Linked DNA regions of Arabidopsis thaliana. The protein of the gene in region 4 interacts with the protein of the main gene of each other region in a pairwise test. Each region holds a gene or a part of one and is shown on either strand. Other genes may lie near its edges. The genes, in order: AT1G80040, LSU1, AT4G22250 and AT5G66720.

Evidence for each region.
Region 1: the proteins of AT5G66720 (region 4) and AT1G80040 interact in a two-hybrid assay, tested with the Arabidopsis thaliana proteins (one large-scale study listed by BioGRID).
Region 2: the proteins of AT5G66720 (region 4) and LSU1 interact in a two-hybrid assay, tested with the Arabidopsis thaliana proteins (one large-scale study listed by BioGRID).
Region 3: the proteins of AT5G66720 (region 4) and AT4G22250 interact in a two-hybrid assay, tested with the Arabidopsis thaliana proteins (one large-scale study listed by BioGRID).

Annotation. Positions count from the first base shown.
Region 1 is NC_003070.9:30,106,566-30,114,920, forward strand, and holds AT1G80040 (ubiquitin system component Cue), read right to left. Parts: upstream 4,720-8,355; 5' UTR 4,487-4,719; coding exon 4,316-4,486; coding exon of another isoform or gene 4,312-4,315; exon of another isoform or gene 4,161-4,311; coding exon of another isoform or gene 4,132-4,160; intron 4,057-4,131; coding exon 3,742-4,056; intron 3,551-3,741; coding exon of another isoform or gene 3,494-3,550; exon of another isoform or gene 3,302-3,493; coding exon 3,128-3,301; intron 2,969-3,127; coding exon 2,882-2,968; 3' UTR 2,494-2,881; downstream 1-2,493. Other genes in the region: AT1G80030 (Molecular chaperone Hsp40/DnaJ family protein), read right to left, coding at 5-180, 455-650, 981-1,102, 1,296-1,388, 1,576-1,644, 2,006-2,308; APT2 (adenine phosphoribosyl transferase 2), read right to left, coding at 5,143-5,217, 5,357-5,415, 5,562-5,711, 5,820-5,912, 6,416-6,526, 6,606-6,696.
Region 2 is NC_003074.8:18,372,193-18,378,812, forward strand, and holds LSU1 (response to low sulfur 1), read right to left. Parts: upstream 3,749-6,620; 5' UTR 3,528-3,748; coding exon 3,243-3,527; 3' UTR 3,041-3,242; downstream 1-3,040. Other genes in the region: LSU3 (response to low sulfur 3), read right to left, coding at 467-760; ATG13 (Autophagy-related protein 13), read left to right, coding at 5,700-6,620.
Region 3 is NC_003075.7:11,764,298-11,771,511, forward strand, and holds AT4G22250 (RING/U-box superfamily protein), read right to left. Parts: upstream 4,267-7,214; 5' UTR 4,033-4,266; coding exon 3,388-4,032; 3' UTR 3,158-3,387; downstream 1-3,157. Other genes in the region: AT4G22240 (Plastid-lipid associated protein PAP / fibrillin family protein), read right to left, coding at 1,793-2,107, 2,193-2,388, 2,509-2,930; IM (Alternative oxidase family protein), read right to left, coding at 5,670-5,878, 6,115-6,162, 6,264-6,335, 6,503-6,571, 6,663-6,771, 6,859-6,974.
Region 4 is NC_003076.8:26,637,075-26,645,440, reverse strand, and holds AT5G66720 (Protein phosphatase 2C family protein), read left to right. Parts: upstream 1-4,528; 5' UTR 4,529-4,760; intron 4,761-4,895; coding exon 4,896-5,392; intron 5,393-5,461; coding exon 5,462-5,771; intron 5,772-5,863; coding exon 5,864-6,013; intron 6,014-6,138; coding exon 6,139-6,426; 3' UTR 6,427-6,651; downstream 6,652-8,366. Other genes in the region: IDD1 (C2H2-like zinc finger protein), read left to right, coding at 1,558-1,681, 1,773-2,169, 2,254-2,528, 2,821-3,527; AT5G66710 (Protein kinase superfamily protein), read right to left, coding at 6,877-7,218, 7,288-7,443, 7,524-7,645, 7,718-7,913, 8,019-8,154.

The DNA.
Region 1 (8,355 bases), on a different chromosome or scaffold from region 4:
ATACCCTCTGGGACCAGAATCACCTTCTCCGGCGACTCTAAGGATGCTACCTGCACTAACTCCCGGGGGAATTTTGACTTTGATGCTTTTTTTTATACGCACACGCCCTTCTCCAGAACATTTCCGGCAATTTTCAGAAATCACCTCACCATCTCCACCACAGTTTGGACATATAGAAACCTAACGAGACCACACACATAGGAAATTTATAAGGAGGTAGTGTTACCAGCAAAAACAAACTTTCACAAACAATAAAACCACAAACTGGATTCAACCAAATTCCGAGCGAATTCTCACTTATGCACTTACTACTAACCACAAACAGATTAGTTTGAGTAAACTACACATTGACATCAACTCTGATGCTCCAATCAGATGCCATTTCTGACATCGACTCGAATTAACTGCAACAGAGATAAAGCAGACAGAACGGAAAGAAATCAACTGCACGGACCTGTGAAAACATGCCAAATGGTGTTTGCTCAGTTCTCATAACTTGACCCCGCCCACCACAAGTGGAGCATATTCTCATCTTGGATCCTGCTTTTGCCCCGGTGCCAGCACAAGCTTCACATGTCTCCAGATGCGTAAGATCAAATTCTTTCTCAGATCCAAAAATAGCCTCCGAAAGTTCTAAGGTGATGTCATACCTAAAACGCAATAGAAACAAAAATGCAAATTAATCACTTTTGGTTTTTCTCAAAGCTTATGCAGAACATGAAGAGCAAGGAAAAACTCCAAAAGAAAAAGCAAGCGAGTGGACATACAGACACAAACCTCCTCTGCTTGCTGATTCAAGCCCATGGTAGTAGAAAATTTCAGGACACATGGTAAGTTAGGAGACACTAACAATATTTTTAAGGTAATGATTGAATGGTATCTTATCAGCAAACAGTGAATGTTGTTATGCTACCAGAGAATAGAGAGGAAATCCTTTGGCGGTAAGTCAATAAATGCTTTGTTTCCTAATAGAAACTCACCGTAAATCTTCACCTTTGGTAACCCTACTGCGGCGGGTTCTCCCAAAATCAGCTTGGTCCATCCCGGGAAATCCACCCATACTTGCACCAAAGAATGTCTCGAAAAGGTCAAAGGGATTTGACTGGTTGGAAATGTAAGAGGAAGTAAATGTCAAGGACAACTATCGGACAAGCACAGTAGCTAATGGCCAATGCACACATCAAATCAGGTTTCAACATCTAATGCATCAGCAAGAGAAGAAACGCACAAATAGTGCCCTAAGCTAGCCAGTCATGGGTATGATTAAGCATAGCCAGAAAAAGATGAAGTGTTACCGTGTAAGGACCAGAAGCTCCTCCTACTGTACTCTTGACACCGGCTTCACCATATTGATCATATAATGCTCTCTTTTGCTCGTCTGATAGCACCTGACAATGTTGTAGTTCAGTAACCATAAGGCAAAATAGCTGACAACTCATGTTATAAAAGCAAAGCCTTGTAATCATGCAAGCTAACAAGTAACAAGAAAAGAAAACCCAAAAAAAGTGGTGATAGGACAGGAAAAGATGACATGAAGAGAATCGAACTGGGGGGACCTTAGCTTTTGGTGCATACCTCATAGGCAGCACTGATTTCCTTGAATTTTTCAGTTGCTCCGGGTTCCTTGTTCACATCGGGATGATACTAGATATAAAAAGTTGATAATCAGCTGAGATCATAGCTCAATAAGCTTGAAATAAAGTAGAAAACTAAAGCAGAGCTTGATGTTGAGTAGATTAAAGTAATAAAAATTCAAATAATATCATGTTCATGTGGAAACAAACAATTGATTCGTTGACTCGTCCTAGTTTGCACAACACAACCGTTTACAGACCCAGAATTAGAGAAAATGCTAACATAATCTCCGGATGCATAATTACTTGGATGATCAGGTTTTCACATTGGCAATTTCGGCGGCCGTAAGTAATGTCATAAGCGGGAGAAATTCACAAAGCAGAAAAACGAATTACAAAGAAATAGAAAGGATGAGGAGGAGGTGGTAAACCTGACGAGCGAGCCGTCGATAAGCAGCTTTAATCTCCTTGTTATTGGCAGATTTAGAGACACCGAGAGTGGCGTAGTAGTCTCCGGAAGTAGCAAATACGACGAGGGAACGGCCCCGTCGATTTCGATAAGGCGTAGACGAAGAAGACGAAGATGAAAGCGACAAGAAGCTCTTGTGATACCTGAAATTGGAACCGCCGTCGGAAAAGGCAGAGAAATTAGAAGAGAGGGAACGGGGACCATCGGCGGCGGCAGCGAAGCAGAGAGAAGAGGGGATGAGGGAGGGAGAAGCGAGGGCAGCCATTAGAGACAAAATGGAATCAAACGAGCTTCTCAAGCTACCAAGAGGACGCGGAGAAGCTTGGCAACGGGCATTGTTGAGAGATGATGACGATGATTCCAAAAGCGTTTTAGGCTAAAGAGAGTGAAATTCGGGATTTTGTGGTGCGAACCTCGCTCACGTGGATTTTCTTCCTTTCTTTCCTTTTTATTTTTCTCTTCCATCACTTCTTTTGCCGTAACCCAAAAGTCTCGTTTGCTTATTTCTTACAGGTAAAATCATTCATTCATATCATATACTACTAATGGTTGATCCGATTCGAATTTTCAGAACAATGTCAAATTATACAGCCCTATGTACCAAAACACATCCTTGATTTCCAAAATAAATGCGCCTGAGACAAACAGCAGCAAACCAAAGAAATATATAAAAAAAAAAGGAAAGGAAACAGAATGTTTGTTTGTCCTGACTACACAGTATTACAATGCAAAAGCACTTTTGTTTTGTAGTTTGATATCGCTCTCTCTCTCTCTCTCCCTCTACTTTCGTTTATTGCCTTCTCCTCCTCTGCAAGTGTCCTTGTCTTCTTGGAGAGCTTTAGAAGACGTCCGGATTGAATCTTGCTGGCATTGAGTTGCCATGTTCCACTTGCTGCAGCTGCATTCTCAACGCGTAATTGTTCACCTGCATTTTTTCTACCTTTTGTCATTCACTCTTTCTTTTATGAGGCATCATCAAATTCTAACAACATCTGTTTTTGGTTCAATTTTAAAACAACCAACACCAGACCATTCAAAGCAATAGCAAGGGATATGCAGAAGCTCTCTATCGCCTAAGGCTTACCTCCAGATTTCTAAGCTTTTCCTGATACTGAGGAACCAGTTGCTTCAAAAGTCCTAGCTGATGGTTCGCATCCTCCAATGCCTTCTGCCGCTCATGCTGGATAGCAACAGCACGTTTGAGGACTGTGTTGTCCTTCACCAAGGTCTCCACCTGTTGCTGCACTGCCACTTTCTCCTGTAAAATCATATGAGATTGTTATTTTGAGACAAGATATGCCAAAAATACTAAGAAGAGATTGTTACTAAGAACAAAATTACTATGATAACTTTATTTCCCCCATTGAAAAACAAACCCTCTTCAGATATCATAGTTAATGCAGAACAAATGGACGATGATTGTCCTTTCACAGTTGATTCCTCATTGCCATTATACATAATTGTGTTTAGATCCAACAAACTTGTAATCAGTGACGAGCGTATGCACCTACATAAGAAGTAACTAATGGTTCAACCTATGTCCTACAGCAACTGAAACTGTCTTCCATGCCCAGAGCTCAAAGAACAAATATGATTATCACTATTCATGGTCTGATAGCCAGTATGTATGCACAAGGTGCATATGTAAGGGTATATTTTGAAAGAAACACATTAAGAAAGATGCAATGCTTTATTTACCTCTTGGAATTTGTTTCCAGCTTCTTCACGAGCACGTGCACTTAACATCTTCTCTAAGGCCTCAAGGACTCTTGCTGCACGTACTTTTGCATCATCTGTACCAGACGATTGTAACACTTCCCTGACTAACAATTCAACCCAGTCATCACCACTGGTCGGGGGGTTTCCACCACAAACGGCATCAGTTTCCTGAGTAGCAGCACCTCCTGCGGCCAATTCTTCAGCTTTCTTCTCCTCAGAAGATGCGAAAGAGTATAAGCTCTTCATAGCAGCATTAAAATCACTTCCATTATCTTCTAGTGCCTTGACGAGAACCTGAGAAAGACTTGCAAATCTAGTTAAACCCTAGATACTGTACAAAATTTACTTACAACCAATCGCATAAAGAACCTGTGCAACCGAGACGTGAATTTTCGATGCTCAATTTACAGGCGGTGAAGAAGAAGAAGAAGAGAGATATCGGAGACAGATGCGTAATTTGAGGTCAACAAATGCCTAGTCAGTGAGATTTCTAGTACAAGATGCGAACAAGGTAAAGCTAGATCTGTGTGGATTGAATAGAAGGAAGACCTACCGTGAGTTCAATATGAGGAAACGCAGAGTGAAGCTGATCGAGCGATGAGGAAGGAGGAGAGGACCAGATTGGAGAATTGGAAGGCGAAAAACATCGGAACCTCTTAGAAGAGGGCGGAGAAGAATTATCGTCGAAGTAAGATCTCTTGGTTCCGCAATATACGGCAGACATGGCCCTGGCCGTGAAAACCAAAACAAGAATTGACAGCTGATTCGATCCAAACGCGATAAATTAGGGTTTAGGGAGAAGGAGAAGAAGAAGAAGATGACTCTTGAAGAAAGAATCTCCGACGATCGAGAGAGATTGAGGAAGGAGCGTCGTAAGAGAGGTTTCGTATCTAAGAAAATCTAATCGGGTTTTAGGTTTTCGATTGGGTTTCCTTTTCTTTATCTTAAAGGCCAGGCCAGGAGACCTTATTTTACCCTTTTTATATACAGATCTTTAAGCGGCAGGGGCTTTCTCGTACTTTTGTTAATCACATGGGCGCGTTGCGTTGCGCGTGAAACTCCCTGCCAACGTTTTTTTCTTTTTTCAAATATTTTGTTTATCTGATAATTCCTTTTTTGCCCCCTTAGTAAAGTTATCTAACAAACAATATGATGTATATTATTTATAAATTCTGCCATGTAAATCACTAGAAAATCGACTTGAATTCATTCATCTGAAGAACAGTGGTGCATAATACTGCATACCTTCGTATTCCGAATTTCATAGTAACTAGCATGAATCATTCCACATGGAGCCAATAGAAAACAAACAAATCCTTAGTTACAAAATCGATTAAACCGATTACATTATTTGTCATAATCGTTGAATAGAAAAGGCTTTTATAAGGTTAATTCATCAAACTGGTTTGGTTCCACCAGAACGTACAAAGGCTTTCCCTTCAGCTTACACTGCCCCTACATATCGTAGACAATGAGTTATTTTATTATCTTCAAATGTATGGGCCTATAGCGCCCATTAAAGCCCAAAATATTATTGACGCGAATTTAAAAGACCTTCAACTTATGCAAACGAACAAAGTAGGTCATATAGTACCTTAAACTTAGGCAAACCAACAACGCATGCACACTCTACAACTTCGGCCCCGGCACGCTCTAAAGTGCATAGAAGAGACTCACTTTTAGTTCAATAATTATACTCAGATATAATATACAACTTCTTAAGCGTAAATATATAAATCATCTTGTTTAGCATGTAGCATTCATTTTCTAGCTAATGAAAGTAGAAAGATATTATTTACCCAAGAGGTTAATGGAAGCAGAGAGTGTCCCACCAGTGGCAACTAAATCGTCGATGATGAGAGCTCGTTCCTCCGATTTGACGGCTTCTACACTCATCTCTAGACAATCTCTTCCATACTCAAGTTCGTACTCTTCGCTTATCACTCTCCCTTTTTTAACATCACAATCAATAGTATCCTTCAATAACACTTTTTCTATTCCATCAAAATGTACGTTTTTGTCTGAGAAGTGATATGTATGTATATTACTAATCGTACCGGGTAGTTTTCCCGGTTTGCGTAGTGGAACGAACTTGGCACCTATGGCTAACGCGATGGGAGGTCCAAATATGAATCCTCTCGCCTCTACTCCTGCATACATCAATCTATGTTTTTAGTATTTCTTAGACATTTCTAATTATGTTCCAAAAAGGTTCACTAAAAGACAAAAGAAAAAACAAGAGACAGACTAACGACAATAATAAAGAGTAAAGGGATAAGTAACTAGTCACCAACCACACTAGACAAACTAGTATGTGAGTGTAAAATCATTAATCCATAAAAGTTGTCTATTTGTTTATTCAATCTTTTCATATTGGCTGATATAATTACGCTTCGGATTCTATATGTCGTATATTATAAATTTAATAATCTATATGTGCGTTGCCTTCCAAGCTGAATGCTTCTCTTAAGGATATCGTAAATTAATCAAGAATAAATAAAGAAATGTGTTGCCTTTCAAGCTAAATCAATAATTAGCCGGTTTTGTTCGTGTGTGTCGTATTTGGCAAAGACTAATTAAATAGCGACTTAAACTATAAAAGAAGGCATCTAATAATCATGAGAAAGTTTAAAGAAAGGAAAGTGAAAGGAACCGGCGACGAGAGAGATGTTCATGTGCTTGTAACGATCAACGAAGATGTCGACGACATGTTTAAAGGCAACTGGATCCAGCAACAACGTTGTTATGTCCTGAAACATGATCCCTGCAACACAAACACACTCTAAGCTTAGTTAGTTTGTAAGCTAAAAGAAAAACTAAAGGCAAAGAAGAGAAAAATGGACCAGTCTTGGGGAAGTGAGGAATGACACGAATGGCGTCGGAGATGGCCTTTAATCTCGGGTCTCCCTGCAACCCATTCTCCACGGCAAACATCTCTCACTCACTCGTGCTTGTGCTTACGTTTGTCTTGGTGTTTGTCGAAGAAGAAGAGAGAATGGGGTTTGCTGTATTTATGATAGCATTTATATTGATAATTCTTCCTTTCTATCTCTATCTCTCATTTATTTCCTTCACCCCACTCATCGTACGTCTCCATCCGAATTTGTTATTTTTAATATATCTTTTAAAAATTGAAATATATAAAGAATAATCAAATTAAAGCTCACTTGTAACGACCACTTCATAGTGGTTGGATAGATTTACTATGTAAATTGAGAACCAAAGTTCAAATATCTTAGATTCTATCCAATAATGGTTGACTATATATAGATTTCATGTTAATATGATTAATTTTGTGGGTTCTAGTCTTCTAGATCAAGGCTTTTGTGTGATGGATTTTTACCAAAAATCATAAATGTGTTGTGGTATTGATCTAACGAAATCGATATTCTGTGCCAGCACAGCATGCACGCATACTTGTAAAAATATACAGCGAATCTTTCTTTACCAGAAAATCAACAAATCTTTCTGGAAGATATGAAATTGTAAACTCGAGCATTTATAGTAATAGTGGTTATGACCCATTTATCTCTGTCTTTCCATAAACAAATCAATTTCCAAAGAAAGTTGTAATGTTAAAAGGGGAGAAAACGTTGATTCAATGGTAAAACCGGTAAAGAAGGTAAAAGAGGAGCAAGGAGGGTCCAGATGTGAGTGAGAGTAGGGAGATAGATAAAATAAAAACGTACGAGTGCCTATTTCGACTGTTGAAGCGCACGCCTGCTCTTCTTCTTCTTCTTTTTGTTTGATTTTCAAATCATTTCATTACTTTACTATATTTTGTGCCCCACCTATGTTATTATGTATGCCGTTTTTTCAATCACAAGTAGAGATTTGGTTGGCTTTAGATTTCGTCTAGATATATGGTTTAACATTTTAAGCTCCGCACTACTACTACTACTAGTACTACTTCTTCTTACCATATAATTTGAGATAAGTGATTACATCACCAGTTCCATTATACGTTGTAAAACAGAGAAGAAAAGCAAAGTGGAGACGTATTAGAAAGCTTTCATTTTGAAGCATCACAGAAATACAAGAAATAAATCTTATAAACAAAAGAAGCCTATAATTGGATTCAAAGATATATAGCTGAAAACAGATGAAGAGGCAAAATCAAAATCAATCAGATGAGACTATTATCCTTTTCTGTCCACTAGTCGGATCTGAACCAACTTATGCTTTTCATGATTTCATCTACATACACACTATGACTCTAGATCATTAGACACGTCACTCCTTATATTTCACAATAAAACGACAACAACACTCAAACTCGATTATTGTAGTGGTCTTTCAAATCCAACTTCAAAACAGAAAAGAACACAACGAATACATTCGTAAGCGGCCGAGTTGCACCTATCTATATCCTTAGATGTTAGGATTTTTTTACTGAAATATCTAATTGGTCAGTTTATTTCAAGATTTCTAAACGGTAAGTAAAGAAAAGGAAAAATGGTTGAAAGAAGAGATGATGAAGTTTGAAAACGAAACACAAGGAATGCGTACCTCACAAATATCTTTCGTGCAGTTAATTTCAAAAGAGACAGAGAAGGACACCAAATCTTAGGAGGACAATCACTACCCAAGATC
Region 2 (6,620 bases), on a different chromosome or scaffold from region 4:
GTGAAGCTCCATTAATTCTCCTTTATTAAGAACAATAAGCGTGACCACGAAAGAAGAAACTTCGTAAGACGTCTCTGTTATGTCGTAATCACTAAAGTTACATGAATACAATAACGTTTTTTTTTAATGCGGTTTTTATGAAGGAAAATATTAATTTCCTATATCAAAATATCTCCATTAGAACAATAAGCGTGACCACGAAAGAATAAAACTTTCTGAGACGTCTCTGCAATCACAAATGTTGCATGAATTCGAGGAAATATAACTTCAAATTCCCCTAAAACAAATTTTTGTCAACATGGTTAAACACTTTTTTCTGGACATAATTTTAAAGGATTATGAAGAAAATGAAAATTTGTAATACTTATGCAAAATTTCTTTACATATCTTTTTAACACATTAAACTACTTGGATCCCACAATTAAAAAAAAAAAAAAAGCTAAAGACAAAATAATAATTAATCTATCTACGAATTCGTAACAACGACTTCAAGAGAGGAAGAAGAGAGACGAGAGATTTGGTCCATGAGAAAGACTATACGAGAGTGATAGTCACGCGCCTGATCTAAAGACTCGACCTCTAGCTCCGCCAGTTGCGAGCAGAGTCTCTCCTCGGCCTCCTCCGCCACCACCGTACGCCGCCACAGCTGAACCATCTCTTTCTTCATCTCCTCCATTTCTCTCTCCAACTCTCCGTTCCTCCTCCGTAACTCCTCCACTTCTTCCGCCGCCACCGTCACATAACCTCCTCCTTTTCCCATTATGATTATGTTTCTTGTATATAGACAACAATTTGAGTTAGGTGGTTTTGCTGCTTCTTGTGTTAAACTGTTAAATTCTCTTCTATGTGTTGATGGTCCTTTTAATAGGCATATTTTGAGTTTTGGTATTTGGGATTGCAAAGTGTCTAGGTTCAATGTATCTCGTGTTCTCTTCTTTTTTTTTTTGTCGACATCATTGTCTGTCTACTGCACGTGGTACATATCATGCAAGACTATCACAATAATTTATTCCTTTTGAATATCTGCATCTAGAATTATCTTCAAGCAATATTTAACATTAAAAAAAAAAACATTTAGATTAAAATATAAATTAGGTATCGTTATCAGAAAATATATAATTTAGATATGAACTAGTATTATACTAATATGTAAACACACAAAAGTAGATAATTATTTATACAAAATCAAATACACAAAGATATACCACACTAATGATGACGAATATTAATTAGATATATATACTAGTAACCTAATAGGTTTAAAATGTTTTTTGGGGGCTGTTTTATTACATTAATCTAGAAAATGCAACATCAGTACATACATATCCATGCATGATAGTATAAGTATATCTGGCCTATTGTAGATATGTATCCTATATCCCAAATTTGACACATTTAAGAGAAAATCTCATATTCTATCAAAATTTTCATATAATTTGCTCATAGTGATTAGGCAAAAATCTTATAGTTATATTCCTTAATAGCTTATTAAGATGTCAAATTTCTTTTATCATCATCACCATAATTATTAGATACACAAAAAATTAGAAAATCATATTAAGACGTTAATTAGTATTATGCGAATTAGTTGAATATTAGGAATCGGTGAACGTCGTGGAGATACATATGGGTGACGTCACCAATCACGTCGATGTAATTGTCATATCCCATTTCTTCGTGCCTCCAGTGGACCACTTCTACTTATCCCAAGTCAATGGCCGTCGCACCAATGAAACACGTAACGATTATTCCTACTAATTCATTATTCTTGAATCCACCAATATTAGTCATTAAACCCATTAATCTAGGCCAAAGTCTAAGCTATCTCTATTTCCTAAATTGTTCATGGAACTATAGTTAATTAATTACAGTTTGGTCACCCGATATCAAAAGAATTATAGCTTTGTAAACAGTCAAATTCGATAGTCGATATCGTAGACAAATGATTCCAATAATGGTAGATCCTTCTTTTCAAGAGATATCAAAATCAGGGATAAAGTAGCATAAGAAAAAAGCCAAAGAAGAAAAAAAAATCATGAATAATCGTTTGCCCAATTATTACAAAATGCCAAAAAAAGCTGCGACATGAACAAATTCGGAGCGTGGGATGATCACATTTTAGACCATACAATTTGATTGAGTTCCTATACTGTCCAGGTTCAATGTATCTGCTTTCTTGTCCGGTTTAGTCTTCCAAAATTACATACTGGCTCACTTCGGTTTAATTTATTCTAATTTGGTTCAACTTTGTTTAGAATGAAAAAAACACACACACACACATCTTTCTTGAAACAATTGAAGTTTCAATTCATTTTTGGCAGGCATGGTTTACTCCGGTACCGTTGTTGATTAAATAAGAAATGGTAATAATTTTAAATCTACGCATGGCATATTCTCATCGTCAACGGATACTATCTCAAATTTATTATGATCAAAACAGTTAATTAACAGCAAAACAAACAAAATCACGTCAAAATCGAATGTCAATATTCCTCTTAATTTGCCAGCACCACATATCTTCATACTATTTTAAATGATTTTTTTTTATATTAACAAAATAAATATATAATTAAATGAAATAGAAACAGAAAATGACCCTTGAACCAATGGAAAACTTACACAATTTCATGTTTCACGTCCCCTAAAGACTATTGTTATGGTTCCATAGAAAAATCATTGAACCATTCTCTCCTACGGTTTCCATTGACCACAAAAAAAAAATCCTGAAGTTGTGGAAAATTTCCATGAAACTCATGTACCCAAAAACCCTTTATTTTTTTCTACACTCAAGTTTCAATTAACTCTTCTACGATTCCTTTGAAAATTATGGTAATGTAGGATTTCATGGAATTTAAACTTCAAAGTTCTTCGATCCCCTTCGAGTCTCCAATACCTACTAGTTCCATAAAATTATTTTGATAGTTAAGATTGACATTAGATCTCACTCATATATTATTACTTCATTACTTAAACATGGTATCATTCCAAAATATTATTTGCTTCCATAAGAACTTTTGTAATTAAAAGTCAAGACAAAATATGCAACTAGTACCAGAAATACTAATTCATTAGAAATGGAGTTCAACAATTTGTATGATTATCAGAAATTCTAATTTATTCACTAGAAATGGATTCAAACATTTAATTTATGTTGAAAACATAACATATTACCATCGATCTATATACATGTATAGTGATTGTCACATACACAACTATACATAACTTATGAGAAATATCTTATTCTACGAGGAAGAGACGACAGAAGAAGAAGAGAGACGAGAGATTTGATCCATGAGGAAGAGCATGCGATCGTGATAGTCACGTGCCTGTTCTAAAGACTCGACCTCCAGCTCCGCCAGCTGCGAGCAGAGTTGCTCTTCCGCCTCCTCCGCCACAACCGTTCGCTGCCACAACTTAATCATTTCTGTCTTCATCTCCGCCACTTCTCTCGAGAGCTCTATGTTCCTCCTCCTTAGCTCATCCATCTCTTCCGCCGCCACCGTCACGCATCCTCCTCGGTTCGCCATTAAGATTCTTTGTGTAAAAGGATTTGATTGTGGTTCTAACTTTGTTTCTTGATTTGTTGAGTGTTAGGGTTTGATTATGTTTCTTTAATAGGCGCTTTGTGTAGCTTTTGCATGTCCAGGTTCAATGTATCTGCTTCTTGATTTTTATTTCTCCTCACTTTTGATTTCGGTCAATATTTTCTCCTTACTTGAAACTTAAACATACTCATGGCTTATGTATGCATAGACCACCCCAAAAGAGAAAATTTACTATTTTTTTCGAATGTTCAATTTTTTTTTTTCGTTTTTTTATCACAGTTTCGCTAGGTTCGATTTAAATATTTTTTATATGAAACTTAAACCAAATTAATTTCGAAATTTCCGGTTTATCCATGTTATTAACTAGTTTTAACTTTAAAATTAATAAACAAATTGCCGTCTATACAACTATAAATTGATAAATGGATAAATATATGTTAACGTGTAAATAGAATAGTAATTAATAATTCTAATGCCGTGGTTTACACAAATTCAATTTAATTATTTATAAATCTCTGGTCCGTCAAATTTGTAATAAAAATGTGTTGGTCTGATCTCTGATGTATGTATGTGGTATATATTGATTACATTATTGAGTTAGTAGGGCTTGAAATAGGTGACGTCTGAAGCCAATCACTATAGTGTTTCTCACTTTCTTGTGATATTGTGAGTTTGTGACAAGGATTTATTCTTTAGATTATTAACTAACAAGTTAATAATTTGGGAAAACGCTGCCGCTTAATATTGCGTTACTTATATTATGATTGAAGAACTATTATGGGATATTTCACGACATCATACATCTACAACCACTATAAAATAGAAAATTAGTGTACTATCACCAAAAATATATTTCTCCTGTTCCATGAAATTTGATGTTTTAGATTTTTTTTTGTTCCATAAAAATTGATTTCTTAGGTTAATATTATTATTATTTTTATTAATGACTAATAGAGAGAGGAAAGAAGTAGAAATTATATTATTAAATTAACAAAAAAATAATATAAATAACATAAAAGTTAATTTTCTTAATTTGGGTGAAAAACCCAAAACATCATTCTTTTAGGAACATAGAGAATATATAATAGACATTTACAACTTATACATTTGTTGATAACATGCAGTATGTTAGTTTGAATACATATTTTTCACAACAGTAATAATAACAGTTGTTAGAAGACTAAACTACATTGTAAGAATCGCTTTCTCTTGTAATGATACAATATAACATATAACATTTAAAATAAAATAAAAATCTGTAGGTTTTAAAATGTTAGCTACGTAGTCCATAACTTCAAAAAACCAATGGTTTTGAACTCATTCCATAGTGATGATTGCAAATACATATTATCTGGTTTACAAAAAAAAAAAAAAAGTGTTCCAATTATCTAGAAATGTTGGGCCTAATGCTTAAACAGTAAGCCCATATACTTAAACATCCGACTTGGCGCATTTGCTTCACCTTCTCTACCAAAAAAGCGCGTGAGATTCAGGTTCACTGTATACATTAAGAGCCTATTGTCTTGTCTCCTGTAAAACCAGAAGAAAACAAAAATTCAACAAAGGATAACAAGGACGTGGCTATTCTTCATTGGCTGCATTCACAAGAGTCGAATATTAATTAGTAATTTCACAGTATAGTACATTAAGATTAACGAGACCTATTGTCTCCTGTAATTGAGGCAACAAGATAAGGGTAAAACGAGAAAAACAAAAGAGAACAAAGACGTGGCTATTTATCATTGGTTGAATTCAATATTAATTTAATTAGTAATTTCACAGTGTTCTCAAATCGTGATCGTGTGTGTTTCTTCTACCTCTGAAACTCTTTTTGTTTATGTTGATCATCATCATCGTCATCTGCGTGTAAAACACACTCACGCCATCGTTGACGTCTCAGATCTTCACATAAAAGCTTCTATTATCAAACTCTCTTCCTCACGGTAACCCTAACTATCTGTAATTTATCTCTCTACACTTTCTTCATCTCTTAATCACCTTAATCATCTTAAGCTTTGTATTTCTAGATCCTTCTCCCAAAACAACGATTCGTGATCTCCGTTCTCATAGATCAGTTTCGGATTTGGATATTTCTTAGGGATTTGTGTGAGATATTTTTAGAATTGTTTCGATTTAGGGATTTGTGTGAAGAAGATGGATTTTCCAGAGAATTTGCCTTCAGATATAGGAAGATTAGAGCAGATTGTTTCTCATTTCTTCCCAAAAGCATTACACATAGTTCTTAATTCCAGAATCCCTTCGTTGCAATCTCGTGGTCGTACTCGTGAGCGTTTATCAGGTCTTAACGTTAGAAAAAGTGACAAATGGTTTAATCTTGTGATGGGAGATCGTCCTGCTGCGTTGGAGAAATTGCATTCTTGGCATAGGAATATTCTGGATTCTATGATTATTGATATCATTCTTGTCCATCCGATTTCAAACGATAATTTGGATGATGATGATGATCATAGTGATTCTGTTGTTAGATCAGCTGAGACTGTGATTGAGCGTTGGGTTGTTCAATATGAGAATCCTTTGATTATGTCTCCTCAGAGTTCTGACTCTGCAACGCGTTACCAGAAGGTTTACAAGAAATCTATCATTCTGTTGCGGTCTCTTTATGCACAGACTCGGCTTCTTCCTGCTTATCGTGTCTCTAGGCAGCTGAGTTCTTCTCTTGCTTCTTCTGGTTATGATTTGATTTACAAGGTTTCATCTTTCAGTGACATATTCTCTGGTCCTGTGACGGAAACAATGAAAGAGTTTCGTTTTGCTCCTGTTGAAGTGCCTCCTGGTCGTCTTTGTGCATCGGTTACTTACCGTTCTGACTTATCTGATTTTAATCTCGGTGCTCATATCACATTGCCTCCGAGGATTATAACTGATTATGTGGGAAGTCCTGCAACAGATCCTATGAGGTTTTTCCCTTCTCCAGGGAGAAGTGTTGAAGGCCATTCCTTTACTGGTAGAGCTGGTCGGCCTCCATTGACTGGTTCATCTGCAGAACGTCCGCATAGCTGGACTAGCGGCTTTCACAGACCTCCAGCTCAATTCGCAACACCGAACCAATCTTTT
Region 3 (7,214 bases), on a different chromosome or scaffold from region 4:
GTTTTTTTTTTATAAAAAAAAATTCAAACACAAATACGTAATGATGTAGACATGTATTGTGTTACGTTTGTGTTCGTTATAATTTTTGTAATTTTTAGGTGTCATATACTGATAAAATGCCAAAAGTAGTCTGATATATATGGACTATAGTTGCTTTTTTTAGTGGTTGTCATCTTAGTCTTAGATCCATAAATTTATTTAAATTATTATACGAAGAAGGTCGGATGATGAAAGTTACTATTATTATGATAGTGTTTTAGATAATACGAATACAATAATAGTAATCAATGTATATCTTGTTTGACCGTGAAAAGTTTTAGACCCAAGAAATGGACCCTGTTTGTTAGGTGGTGGCAGAAATACTTAATTCCTTTCCAAAAATAAAACACGATTATTTTTCTTTTATACGTTTGCATAAAATTACAAAATTACAAAAGAGAACTAGTCCTTGTTGTTATATGCTGTAATTCTAATGGACCATTCTTATTTTTATTTTGTACTTAACATGATAAAATTTATAAAAATACTGTAAAACATTAATGAGTGAAGAAGATTCGGGAGATACACTTTGCATGGCTGCACATGATATGTCTTAAAACAAGTGACTTTTAAGACAAACCACAATTATTTTCTCTTTTTTCAGTAGTTTGGCAGATTACAAATTTATTGCGAATTTATCATCTAAAAGACTAAAATATAGTAATAGAAAATAAAAAAAATCATCTGCAAACCTAAACAAAAGAATGTATTTTTGACAACAAACTATATTATTACTAACGGTAGTTAGAGCGGACAAATACGTCAGCGATTTAGTCCGCTCTATTTTTAAAATGGGCAATAAACCGTTACGAACTAATTATATTTGTATGTAAAAACAGTCCGTAGTTAATCTGCAGTGGTTTTTTTTTTCTTTTTTAAATTCGCACCTATACAAATATGAATGATAAATAAAAAACAGTTCAAACCGCAAACGAATTTGTCCGCCTTAACCGTTGCAACCATTCAAATCCTATATAGCAAATATGTGCTACAATGATAAAGAGAGACATAGAAGAAAAAGAAAGTAATAAAACTCAGTTTACAGATTATTCTTCATTGTTATCATTATTATTGTCTCCTCCACTTTCAGTTTTGGCTCTGATTCATGCTCTCCGCATCAAACCCTCCACCAAACTGTACATAACAAAACACAGTTTCAAACTTTCAGTTATATGAGAAATTTGGTCAATTTAGGTTTCTTATGTTCTTGTCTGAATTGAGTTTTTCCTTTACCTGATGGTCTCTAAATAAATTACAGAAAGAACAAACACATTCAAAATAGGGCTTCAGATATTGAGAAACTCTATGGCATATGCTAGAAACCTCGAGTACTATACTAACAAGTATCCCATACCATACTAATAGAACCATTTCCAGTGACTGAGTCCCTCAAAAAAAAAATGATAGGCATCAAGCACAGAGTGAACCAATTAGACAACAAAATGACAGTCATCATCTCGATTCTTATCGAAAGACCCGACGTTGCCGGGATAATTCTCATGTAACTCTTGCATCGGTACATAGTTTACTTTCTAAATCAAACAGAAGAGAATGAAATTCTAAAACACTTGAATTTTGTGAAAATCTGAGACACATTTCATAGGCCATAGACGAGATGTTCTGTAGTAGTTAAAAACATTATATTCCTTATCATCGAGTTAATAACAACGATTAAGAAGTAAACCTACAACCACACTATATATTTGTCTCACTTAACACAACGACAAGAGAGAGACATATATTTTGACCAAGTTCAAGGATTCAAGAGAGGGCTTCCTTCTTTGATAAGCACAAAGACACTTCCACCGTCTCCTCTAGAGATCCGAATGTCTTTGTCTAGATAAGTCGTGAGTAGCCAAGACTGCGCATTGTCCGCCGGCAAAGAGAATTTCAACGGTGGTTGGCTTGATATGGTTCTAGCCACAGACGAGGCTGTGTCTTGCACCGAGGTAAGTAACCCTCTGATCGGGTTAAGATCAATCTTTTGACCAAGAACCTCTACATATTCCGGTATCTCAATAGAATCCGTTAGCTGAGGCGTCCCAATTACGCCTTGCTCAAACTTAATCTGCAAGAAAAATGAAATCCAAAACATTACTGAAAACGTTTCAAGATGTTGATATCAGATCATGGTCGATGAATGGTCAATTTACCTGGACGCGTTTAGGGCTTCGGATTTCGAATTTAGCGTTGGTGCTAATCGAGTTTGTACCTAAAGGACCAGCGAAACGAACAGAGTTCTGGACGGTGAAGTTATCTGAATCAATGGTTTGAGAGATCTCATCGACTTTTATTAACGGTACGATTCCTCGTGATAGCAACGGGAACAAATTCACGAACGATGTGTAGCTGCAAAAGAGGTTTAACCAAATCAAAAGCAGCACGAGATCTACCATTTGAATCCAGAATCCTACGAATGATGCTATCTACAGGACTACAAGAGAAAGTTTTCACCGGAAAAAAACTTACGCGAGGATCCATTTGCCGTTGAGAAGGAAAAGAGCTTCCGTCGGAGCTGGAGTAGGGTTCTTAGACTCGAGCTGTGTGATTAGATCTCCGATTTCAGCTCTGGTTTCGCTCGATGCGCTTAAACCTCGATCTGTTCCGTACAACGAATCCACGAGCGATCTCTTTAGCCGCTCCGTCTCTTCCACGTCTTCAATTGCTTCCTCCGCCGCCAATAGAGCTGATCCTATCTCTCCCGTATCTGTGGCTCGGACTTTGAAAACTCTACGGGGGGAAACAGCGATTCCTCCGGTGGAGATCATCGGGCGGTGAATAATTGAGGTCACCGGTACCAGAAACGGAGGCTTGGAGATAGATTTAGAGTTCGGTGAGATTGAAACTCTGGTTTGGCAGCTAAATTGGGTGGACAATTGTACCGTCGCCATTTTTTTTTGTTTCTTCGACTAAAATTTCGAAGCTAGTGAACAAGAATAGACCTGTACTGATTTTATAGACATTGTTACGTAAATGTTTTGCTTTCATCAACTACCAAACTCACACCAAGAGGGATAATATCGACTATTCCACATAGATCATGTACATTCGACTACGATACTGCCACGTGAGAGACAAGATCAACGGCCAAGAATCCACTCGACGGTGTGAGGCGAGCATTGTTTAGGCTAGATAAAATCCAAAATAACGGTTTACTGGGCTTGAATAGACTAAATGGGCCTCGTGAACAAAAAACCTCTTGTATTCTTTTTTGCATTTACATCATCTTCTTCAATAACCAAAAGAAACGTACAAAGTACACAAACCGTAGTTAAAACTTTGGAAACGTATCTAGGGATCACCTCACTTACTCACGTGGATCGAGAACTTTTAGCCGTCCGATCGTTTTCAGAAAATATCGAGTATCTCAATGATCGGACGGTTACAAAGAGGACACGATCCACGGTTCAGCCACAATTCTCTAGAGCACACTCTGCAAAAAGTATGACCACATGGAATAAACGCAGCGCCTTTCTTTCTTCCCATACACACGCAACACACCGAATCATTACCCGTTAACGTCCCAATAGACGCCGTTAATATCTCCGTTTCTTTCCCGTCGTCATCAACGATTTTCTCCGCCGTCTCTTCCAACAATCTCATCAACGAAACTCTCCTCGGCGTCATATCTGCCTCCGCCTCCGTCGATTCTCCACGGTTATACCTCTCCGCTTCTAACGCTGTCGCGAGATTCATACCCGTACCCGATCCATGATCCGATTCGAGAACGAGTCCGGTTTCAATTTGTAACTCTTCGATTTCGTCGTCTCTTGAGGTTGGACTGTGAAGAGTGGTGTTGTTAGTTAGACGGAGATTCCAGGTTGGACCACAGCATCCGATGCATTTGAATCTCAACCGTTCTTTTAACGTCCGTTTCCTTCTGGTGAGATCGTGACCGCTCATCTGTCGTCGGAGCAAATCAAGAAACGTCGTCGTCGTGCGGTGTGTTTCCGTCATCCTCTGACTCGTTCCGAGATCGAGTTCACTCATCATCGACTCGGTAACGGAAACTCTAAACAAATTCTCAGATAGTGAAACAGAATCACCAGTGAAATAGACAGATTAGCTCCGCCATGAGAGAGCCCTGTGAGGGAGAGAGAGAAACTGTTTAGATCTTTGGGTCTCGCAGTGATGATGACATTATAAAGGAAGTTTTCAGAGTTTTTTTTTTCTCTTCACATTTCTTTATTTTTTTTGTTAAAGTTGCTTCCGAATATTGATTTCCCGCGAATTAAAATTACTTTATACAGTTTTACTAATTTTTAACAGTTATAACGATTCTGTTTGACTGGTATTCCACACAAAATTACAGTAGTAGTGGAATCGAGTATATTTGTAAAATATTTTTCCAACTTGAGTATATAACTTTCAATTTTTAAAAACCAATTTTTAATAAGTTACTTACATCATTGTTTAAAACTTAAAAGGTTAATCAACTTATAATTATGTGTAATTTACCGAGAAATGATGTACAGTGTACGCAATGGGGGCAACTATAATGTTAGTTCTTCTGAATTTCTGATAGAAAGAGAAAAAATAAATTTACTTAAGAGGAAAAATTTAATGCTGTTTCTGTAACTGTACGACTTAGTTTTAAAATTAAATAAAAAAGTCTTCAAGGTCTCGAATAGAAACAAAATCGAATTAGTACTTAAGTTTATACTCCCTCCGTTTCATAATATAAGTTGTTTTATACCAAATTTTTTGTTTTATAATATAAGTTGTTTTCAAGTTTCTATGCAAATTATATATTATTTTAATACTTTATGATTATTTATATTCTACAGTTTTTTTTATAATTGGTTGAACATTTTAAAAATAAATATTCTTAATATACGTATTTTTAGTTAAAACAACTTATATTGTGAAACGAAGGGAATATTACCAACAAAAAAGGTCCTCCATCGGAGTTCAAACCCTATTAAAGATTAAACAAATCATCAATCGAATAAAGGTACTATTAATGTAACGCTAACTCTGAAATAAAAGCGACGATCAAAGTATTCGAATTTGATTACTGCTAATTATACTAGACTGATGAATTCTCTTACCTGTGCTATAACCGGAACATGGTTTTTTGGTAAAACCTTTCTGGCGGGAAAACATTTTTGTTATTAAACCCGCGGAAAATCATTTTAAAAAGTGAAAGGCAAAGAAGAGACAAAAAAAAAAAAAAAAAAAGAAGAAAAATTAAAGAAGGCGCATGAATCAAGGCTTTTCCCACGTGAAATGTTCGCATAGACGACGTCGTCTTTGCGCCACACTCTCCCCAACAAAACCAATAAAAATAAAAGTGTGGGATATAGAGATTCTAAACGCTAATACCAATATGCTTTTTGAGAGAATGATACATTCAATGATTTTGTACTTTTAAACATTTTTTTTACTCCTGTGAAATAAGAATTGAAGAAACCGACAATGCAACCACAAAGGCTAGTAGTATGGATAAAATGGTCTACAACGACTTAAGCTCATCAAAGTACATTTACATCATTAGGGTATTTGATTCTCTCACACACTAGCACAACGATGGGAATTTCACATTATTCCTTTATTCCCAAGTATATGGGATTATATCTATTGTTCATGAGCTGATACAAATAATCTTTTTTAGTTTACTTTCTAATTTATTAACTTGTAATGGATTTCTTGAGGCAGTCTACAATACCTTCGCAATGAGCCTCCTCAGGAACAACACACCCTGATTCTTCTTCAGTATCATCATCTTCTAAAATGGAGTGTGGAGAACGCAGACTGCCTAGAGTCTGACAAGCTCTCATTGTCTTGCAGTGTTCTGCTTCATCATCTCTTATGTTCACAAACACATCGTATAGATTTTCTGCCCAACCGTAATCACAAAACAACAAAAACGTTATATAGATTCTTATTTTAACATCAAAGTAAGTCACAAACTGTGAATAATGCTTCCTCCATACAAACATAAGACAGAATCTCAGTCATTTATAGAGCGCAGAATCATAACCATGGATAAATCATAAACTTTTTTTTAGCATTTTGTGGTTCGACGGAATCAGAGATGGAAAGAACTAAACGGATATGAAATAGATTTGCTACCTATTACTGGTCTTCGAGTATTGGGAGTTCTTGATGTTTGGAACTCATCTGCAGACAATACAGGGCCAGTTTAAAAGACTACTAATCATAGGTAAAAACATCTCTACAACTCTGGAGGATATTGATAATTCCTGGAAAGACAAACTCACCAAATAAGTACAAGTCACCTCCCGTATAGTATTTTACTGCGATATCCGGTGCAGGCATATTCTTCAACTCCTCTGTTTAGGGAAACCAAAAAAAAATGAAGCACAACAATTCAGAATGTAAAGATCGTTGAAGAATTTTGTGTAATATTTCAAAGCAATAACTCCATTAACAACTTTAGTTCTAATGTAAATGGTACACAGAATGGTGGAGAAAGAAGAAAAAACCATTGGTAACCAACCTCCACTGGCCTTGAGAAATTTATCATAAGTCTCATATGCATGACTCTCCACACATTCCGAAAAGTGATCTGCATAGGTGACACAAGGTTAACGAAGTCATGTAGACCAGAAGCAATTTATTCAGCTACTTTCTAGAAGTTACGCGGAAAGGAAACTTACATGCCATTCTAGGGCTTAAGATATACAAGAACACTGTCATGAAGTAGTAGAAGGTTGCTATGTGCTGAGCCAGAAAACGATCAAACCACCAAGAATTTCCACCCAATTCCTGTGATTAGAAACATTTGTTTTACTATTACTAACTATGTGAGTAAAGAGTATGAAACTTGTAGAGAAGTAACATTTTGGTTCTTACTTCCATTATGAGCAAGTGATGCATTTCATTCCAGCTCTCAGCAAAGTGTACTTTCAAATAATCTGCTCTCCTCCACCAACCAAAGGTCTCATACATATGTAGCACAGACATAAACGCTGCAAGGAGCATATAGAAGAAACAAACATTATGTTCTAGCCTCGGAACAACTTTTCATTTGGTATCCAGATCCATAATTAGTGATAAACACACTAAAAAAAACAAGATTCGATTCTCAACAAATCCAATATCTCGATGACTGAATCGCCTTTTGTTGTTAAGAGTTGAACTATGCTTCTAATGAGATAAGAAAGAGTACATATTCCTCAAACACAACTATTTCGTCATTGTTCTTCTTC
Region 4 (8,366 bases):
AGAAATTAAGGGAAGTGGCGGTGTAACATATACACAGAAATCCAAGCTGGTTACTTTTCAATCCACCTGTCAGCGTCATGTTTATCCAACGGATGCAAATTCAGATAACAAAAGACACGTGTCAGAATCTGAGCTTCTCAGATGCCTACAAGGCAATGAAAACGTTAAAACAAAAGCTGAACGAATATTACCAAAAAAGGGTCAAAGTCAACAAAAACAGACGAACATTGCATTAAATTGGGTTATAGTTTCGTTAACCAGAAATATACACCCACAAAGAAGAAAACAAATTGCGATTTCGAACGTAATGCTACACGACAAATTCCCACAGTAAAAAATGTTATTCGTTCAACAACAAAATTTGGTTAATTATTTTACGGTCCGACAACGCGACGGTAATACCCTCCTTTGTCCCCGTCTAAGGACAGTGACAGTAAAATAATTTTTTTGTTTATTGACATGTTCATAAGCTAAGAATTTAGATTAATATTGGAAATACTAAAACCCAATCTTAAACCAAACACGGATATATCTTTTGACAAAATAAGTCGTTTAGCTCAAAATCTATATAGTAAACAATGACATAAAATAAATTTATAATTTCTACGCCATCGACAATATTAATAAATTACTTGATCGTTTGATTACGTAACATGTAGAGATACAATAGAAAAATAATACAAACCTGATATTGCATTCATTGGGTACTGCATATATTCACATGCCATTTTCTAATTTTCATCTGTGTACATCGTCTATGATATAATCTTTTCCATAAAGGTGAAAAAATTATTACAATATCTATTTACTCGTTTTGTTTGGTGCTTTTAACCTTTCTACACCGTTTTCAATTTAAAATCTACAAAAAGATTATTCTATTTTAATTATTTGCATGGGAGTCCAAAATACAGATTTAGATACTTGGAACTTGAAAGTCGACACAATTATGTATAAAAAATGTTTGTTAACAAAAAAAAAAGGGTGAAAAGTTGAGAGAAAAAAATTAGTATAATTGTCTCCAGAGAGAGAAAAGAAGAAGAAGGCTCCTTTTTCTTGGACAAGCCAAAGAAAAAGAAAAAAAAGGTTGAAGCTTTCACACAAAGTCTCACACACAAGCCGCCTTATTTTTTTTTCCGGTGATTCTTCAGAGAGAAACAAGCCGGAAGTAGTAAGGATAACTCGTCTCCGGTGAAATCTCAGCCGTTGGATCAGATCGGTGGACGGTGGATAAAAGATGCGTGTGGAGAAGAGAGAGTCTGGGTTAAATGATTAAGAGATTTCTTGGGTAATGAAGTTTTGATTTTTTTTCTTTTTCTTTTGGGGGTTTTAAATCTTTTTGAAGAAGAGAGGTCAGAGAGTGAGTTATCAGAAAAGTTTGGTGGCGGAAAGGGGAAAAGGAGATTTTTACGAAAAGCAGATTGACTGGTAGCTGAAGAAGAGAGAGAGAAAGAGAGACTAAACAGAGTAGGAGGAGGATGATAAACCCTAGATTGAGCTGAGCTGAGATTTGCTTCTTCCTTTTTGTGTTCAAAGATTGGAATTTAGTATCTTTGAAACATGCCGGTTGATTTAGATAATTCCTCTACAGTTTCCGGCGATGCAAGCGTCTCATCGACCGGAAACCAAAATCTAACTCCTAAATCCGTCGGGAAGAAGAAACGGAATCTTCCTGGAATGCCTGGTACTTCTCAAAAATCCAAACTTTTTTTTTTCTGTTTTTTGAGTTTGAAATTTTCTGTTTTTAGTTGTTCTCACTGATTGTCTAAATTCAGATCCAGACGCTGAAGTGATAGCTTTGTCACCTAAAACACTTATGGCAACGAATCGATTCGTTTGCGAAATCTGTAACAAAGGTTTTCAACGTGACCAGAATCTTCAGCTTCATCGTCGTGGTCACAATCTTCCATGGAAACTTCGACAGAGATCGACTAAAGAAGTGAGGAAGAAGGTTTATGTTTGTCCTGTTTCTGGCTGTGTTCATCATGACCCTTCACGTGCTCTTGGAGATCTTACTGGAATCAAGAAACACTTTTGTCGGAAACACGGCGAGAAGAAATGGAAGTGTGAGAAATGTTCTAAGAAGTATGCTGTTCAATCAGATTGGAAAGCTCATTCGAAGATTTGTGGCACCAAGGAGTATAAATGCGATTGTGGAACTCTGTTTTCTAGGTGGCGACAAATTGTTATAAACATATTCAAAGGTTTGATCTTTCTTATGGATTTTACTAACTTGTGGATTGGGTTTTGTTGCAGGAGAGATAGCTTTATAACGCATAGAGCCTTTTGTGATGCCTTGGCTGAAGAGAGTGCGAAGAATCATACTCAAAGCAAGAAACTTTATCCAGAAACTGTCACTAGGAAGAATCCTGAAATTGAGCAAAAATCTCCAGCAGCTGTTGAGTCTTCTCCGTCATTACCGCCTTCTTCTCCGCCATCGGTTGCTATAGCTCCGGCACCGGCTATTTCGGTTGAGACTGAGTCTGTCAAAATCATATCTTCCTCTGTTTTGCCGATTCAGAATTCTCCAGGTACATAATACAAACTCTCTGTTTGATGGCAAAATGTGGCAAAATCGCTACATGTAACAATTTATCAATTCTCTAACCGAAACAAGAACTCTTTAAAATAATCCAACTGTAAACTGGTCGGTGAACTTGGAGTTTAGTTGGTTTTGTCTGTAGCGCCGTTATATTTCTGATGTCTGCTAAAAAACTGAATCGTGTTCGTCGTCTTCCATAGCTAAGCCTATAATGTATCCATTAATTATAATTAAAGCCTCAAAGTTTATGTCCATGACTCATCATCTCTTTTTGTTTGTAGAATCTCAAGAAAACAACAATCATCCTGAAGTCATTATTGAGGAAGCTTCAAGAACGATCGGGTTCAATGTTAGCTCATCGGATCTAAGCAATGATCACAGTAACAACAATGGTGGATACGCAGGTTTGTTTGTATCATCAACAGCTTCGCCTAGTTTATATGCTTCCTCAACCGCTTCTCCAAGTCTATTCGCACCATCGTCCTCCATGGAACCCATCTCTCTCTGTCTCTCGACGAACCCTTCTTTGTTCGGACCAACAATACGAGATCCGCCACATTTCCTAACTCCTCTCCCTCCTCAACCGGCAATGTCAGCTACTGCATTGCTCCAAAAAGCTGCACAAATGGGTTCCACGGGATCAGGAGGTTCGTTGCTTCGCGGGTTAGGCATAGTTTCAACTACTTCTTCATCTATGGAACTCAGCAATCATGATGCATTGTCATTAGCTCCTGGTCTTGGACTTGGACTACCTTGTAGCAGCGGTGGTAGCGGATCGGGTCTAAAAGAGCTCATGATGGGGAATTCATCGGTGTTTGGTCCGAAACAGACGACACTAGACTTTCTTGGATTAGGAAGAGCTGTTGGTAATGGTGGTAATACCGGAGGTGGATTGTCTGCTCTGTTAACTTCTATAGGTGGTGGAGGTGGAATCGATCTGTTTGGATCAGGGGAGTTTTCAGGCAAAGACATTGGAAGAAGTTCGTAAGAGAGACAAAAGGCATGAACGTAGTAGACCAGTGTAGTATATAGTTCATCAAGTTTGTTTCAGGTTTTAGATGTTTTGGTATCTTGTTTTAGTGAAAGCTTTAGTTTTATTCCCAAGTGGGTTTTCTCTCAAGTACATAAATCTCCTAGCAACAACAACAAAATATATTGTTTTTTTTTTGGTGTGTGGTTTATTATAACTCACATGTTGTACTTTGAGAGATAATTTGAACTCGGGTTGTGACATGACAGCTAAATTATTACAGATGGTTACAAATCTTGGTCTAGTTCTGATGGAAGTCTCTACCATGTGAAAACAATCAATGGGGTTTGAAGTTTCTATTATTGGGTGTTGCTTGCTGTCTTAAAACGCTGAATCGAATTTTTGCATTAATGGGAACAATTCGTAGATGAGATTGAATTGACTTCTCCCAAAAGTGATAAATTTTTTGGAAGGTGGTGATATTTGTCTAAAAACTTGCAGAACTAAAAATAGTCTCAATTTGGCCAGATAATTTGAGACTTGACCAGTGTGATTTGATTGGAGAATCGACCAAAGATTTTGGATTTTGATGTTTCAATCGCTACGTAGGTCCATTATAGTGATAGAATTATCATGACAATTCAACCCACAAAGGCACTATTTTGTATTTTATTTTGGAGAGCAAGATAATTTATTTACCCACATCATATTTACTGTATTACAAAATCGGAAGTTTAACAGAAATCAGTAACTATGATTAGTGTGACTTTATCATTTGATCAATATTGATATGCTTGGACTCGAGCAATGATCGTGTAGTTTTCAATATTAAGAAAATAAAATTGGTTGTGTACAGTAAGCAAGAAGAGAGAAGCCTATTGGGGTTGATTGTGAAATGTTTCTTTCTTAATAGGCCATTGATATTTTAAGCTCATTAGTCATTATGCTGAAGACTACTCAAGTCCACAAGCTTAATACTATTGGGCCTTAAATGTCAAGTCCAAGACCATTAAATTATTATCTCTTAGTATTTTTTAATTTCGCTGAGAAATTTCAGACATCGAAAACTGAACACGAAGAAACAAGTTAAGTTTCCGATTTTGCCCTCATCGGCTAATGAGTTTTACGGAGGAGCTCGCAGCTGCAGGTAGGTAGCGGAAACAAGAGATCTTTATATATTCCTTCCTCTCTTCTCTAACCTAATTCCGGCGAAGAAGAAGACGGAAAAAGCCCTGACTAGTGAAGAATCCGGTAATAGTTTATCTCTTATCTCAAGTATTTGAAGTGGGTAATGATTAAGGGCTCGTTTTATAGTCTGTTGATTTTGGTGTAGCTTTGTTCAGTTTTGGTAAAAATCTTTCCTTTTATTGATTATTATTGATTCAGATGTCAGCGACTGCTCTCTCGAGATTAAACCCAGTTTCTCAATTTGGGTTTCAAAGAATCGTTGCTGGGAAAAGTAAGAGCTTCTTCTCCAATTCGGGTCAAAGGAGATTGTTTTCTGATAGTTCTCGGTTTCGTCAAGCCATGGCTGCTTCTGGTTCTTTGCCAGTGTTTGGAGACGCTTGTTTGGATGATTTGGTTACTACTTGTTCAAATGGCTTAGACTTCACTAAGAAGCGTTCTAGTGGTGGTAGCTTCACTATTAATTGTCCTGTAGCTAGCATGAGACTTGGGAAGAGAGGGGGAATGATGAAGAACCGATTGGTTTGTCACTATTCTGTTGTTGATCCGCTAGAAAAGAGTCGTGCACTCTTTGGGACATTGTCTAAGAGTGTTCATACTTCTCCTATGGCTTGTTTCTCGGTTGGACCGGCTCATGAGCTGTCTTCTCTTAACGGTGGTTCTCAAGAGTCACCACCAACTACTACTACATCTCTTAAGTAAGTTCTTTTACACTTTCTTAATCTTTTTGTTACCAATTGGTTTCAATGTTTTGATATTTTGAGTAGGAGTCTTAGGCTAGTGTCGGGGTCATGTTATCTCCCGCATCCTGAAAAGGAAGCTACAGGTGGAGAAGACGCTCACTTTATCTGCGATGAAGAACAAGCTATTGGAGTTGCAGATGGAGTTGGCGGTTGGGCTGAGGTTGGTGTTAATGCGGGACTGTTTTCGCGTGAGCTTATGTCTTATTCAGTATCTGCAATTCAAGAACAGCATAAAGGTTCTTCTATCGACCCTTTAGTGGTGTTAGAGAAAGCACATTCTCAAACCAAAGCCAAAGGCTCCTCCACGGCTTGTATCATCGTTTTAAAAGATAAGGTTAGTTAGCTCACAGAGTTTTGTTTGTGAATGAACAACAACTGTATTTCTTAGAACCGTCTGTTGAAGAGTGTTTGTTCTCCTTGTGCAAGGGATTACACGCCATTAATCTCGGAGACAGTGGATTCACGGTGGTTAGAGAGGGAACCACGGTGTTTCAGTCTCCGGTTCAGCAGCATGGATTCAACTTCACTTATCAATTAGAGAGTGGGAACAGTGCCGACGTCCCTAGCTCCGGTCAGGTCAGTTTCAAAGGCGTATTCTTCCTATTATCAAAGCTTAATAAGACCATTTTGAATACACTTTTCAGTTGTGGTTCGGGTTATACGGATTGAATTGAACACGCTGGTGTGGTTATATGAATCAGGTATTCACAATTGATGTTCAGTCTGGAGATGTCATTGTCGCTGGAACAGATGGAGTGTATGATAATTTATACAATGAAGAGATCACAGGAGTGGTGGTTAGCTCGGTGAGGGCCGGTTTAGACCCGAAAGGCACAGCTCAGAAGATTGCAGAGTTGGCACGTCAAAGAGCAGTCGACAAAAAACGGCAGAGCCCTTTCGCAACTGCGGCTCAGGAGGCTGGCTACAGGTATTACGGAGGAAAGCTTGATGACATCACTGCCGTCGTTTCTTACGTCACCTCATCTTAAGAGACCAAATTGATGATCTTCTGTTTAAACGGTCCAATCCCGCCAAAATCTGACGATACCTTTTCTTTTATTTTTTGTTGTGTTTTTTTGAAAAACTTGTTACGGTATTAAAAGTCCTCAGGAGGTCATTAAATGTGTATTTTTCACGGAATCAAAATATAGTTTAGCTAAGTTATGAAACGTGAATCTAATTGTGTTTACTTAGGTGAAAAAACACGATAGAATAATCATGGTTCATAGAGTAAATTATATGATGATTCTATTATTTATACCACATATTCTTCGATTCCGTACACTAATTAGTTTGGCATACTATTTTTCAACATAAATTGTTGAAATACCAAACAAAAAAGAACAAAGCACAAAGCCTAACCATTTTTTCTTTCGTTTTACTCTGTCGAGTTCGTATTGCTATACCTTTTATCTTTTACCAGAGAGTTTCTACTTCCATCACTTGGACATACAACTTTTGAAGATCTTGAGAAAAGGGACGATCATATTCATCAGTTTATTCGTCTTCTTCTTCAGCTTCTTCGTCTTGCTCATCTTTAGTCCGGGACAATCACAGACAACACGTTCTTGAACCAGACTGCTTGTTGAATCCTCGGTAGCTATATTGGCTTTGCTATTGGATGAAGTAGCATCAGTGTCTGAGCTTAAGCTTCTGAGCAAGTTTGTTAGTGAATATGTAATTTCTTTAAACTCAGGACGAGCGTCAGGATTCTCTGCCCAGCATGATTGCAGGATAGAAACAACGCCTTCTGGAAGATTCTCCACACTTGGTCTCTGGTTCTGCAGATATTAAAGGACTTAATCAATTCATGTTCCTGTGATTTTGAGTTGAAATTGTGGCTTACTTACTTTGCTGGCAGCATAAGCTACAAAGATGTTGTTCTTTCCTTTGAATGGGGTTTTGTTGGTAAGTAACTCCCAGAAAACAATGGCGAAACTGTAAACGTCCACCTTATGATCGTAGTGTTTCTTTTCGCCAATTTCAAGCGTGTCATAGCTGAATAACTGAGAAACAAACAAACAAGTTAACAAACCAAGAAAAGATTTTAAACCTAATTAAGTAACAAGAAACTAGAAACACCCACCTCTGGAGCCATCCATCTGTATGTACCAGCCTCAAAGGTCATGAAACCTTTAGTCTCCTCTCTAGCAAGTCCAAAGTCAGCCAACTTTACATGTTTCTGATCACCTGTTAAGAGCATATTACCTGCACAAAAACCAATCTTCTTCAATTCACAAATCTTGATTCCTCTTTTCGTGATGTCTCAGTTTAACTTACTTGGTTTCAAATCTCGGTGAATAATGCCATTTGCATTCAAGAACTCCATTCCCCGAGCAATATCCAACGCAAAGCTAATGGAGAGCTTCAGATCAAGAGGCTTTGGACGAACACTCAACATAAACTTCTGAAGAGTATTGCCTTCCATGAGTTCAGTAATTATCATCAACTTTGGTTCTATGCACGCCCCAATGAACTGTCATCAAAAGGATCCCATTAGGGATATTATACCATCGACGACCAACGAGATAAGGCTGCTAACATATGAAAACAAACAAAACATCAAAGGCTCCAATATTACCCGCACAATGTTTTCATGTCTAAACTTGGAAAGCAGCAAAACCTCTCTCTGAAACTTCTTCCTCTGCTCAATGCTTAAAGCAGATGTTCTTTTAGGCTGGAATATCTTCACAGACACAGGGACAACTCTCCTGAACCTATAATCATGGATAAAGAAATGTTCTTTAACCCATATCCAAATTCCAAAAATCAGTAACAAGTATGCCACAATACAAAGATTACTCATTCAAACACCCACATCAGAATCTTCCTTCTTATTGTAATTCATGGTTTCTCTGTAACATTAATCCTTTTTTGAGGCATTGTGTAGGAAACACTAGAGCTGAGACTACATAAACCTAAGAGTGAC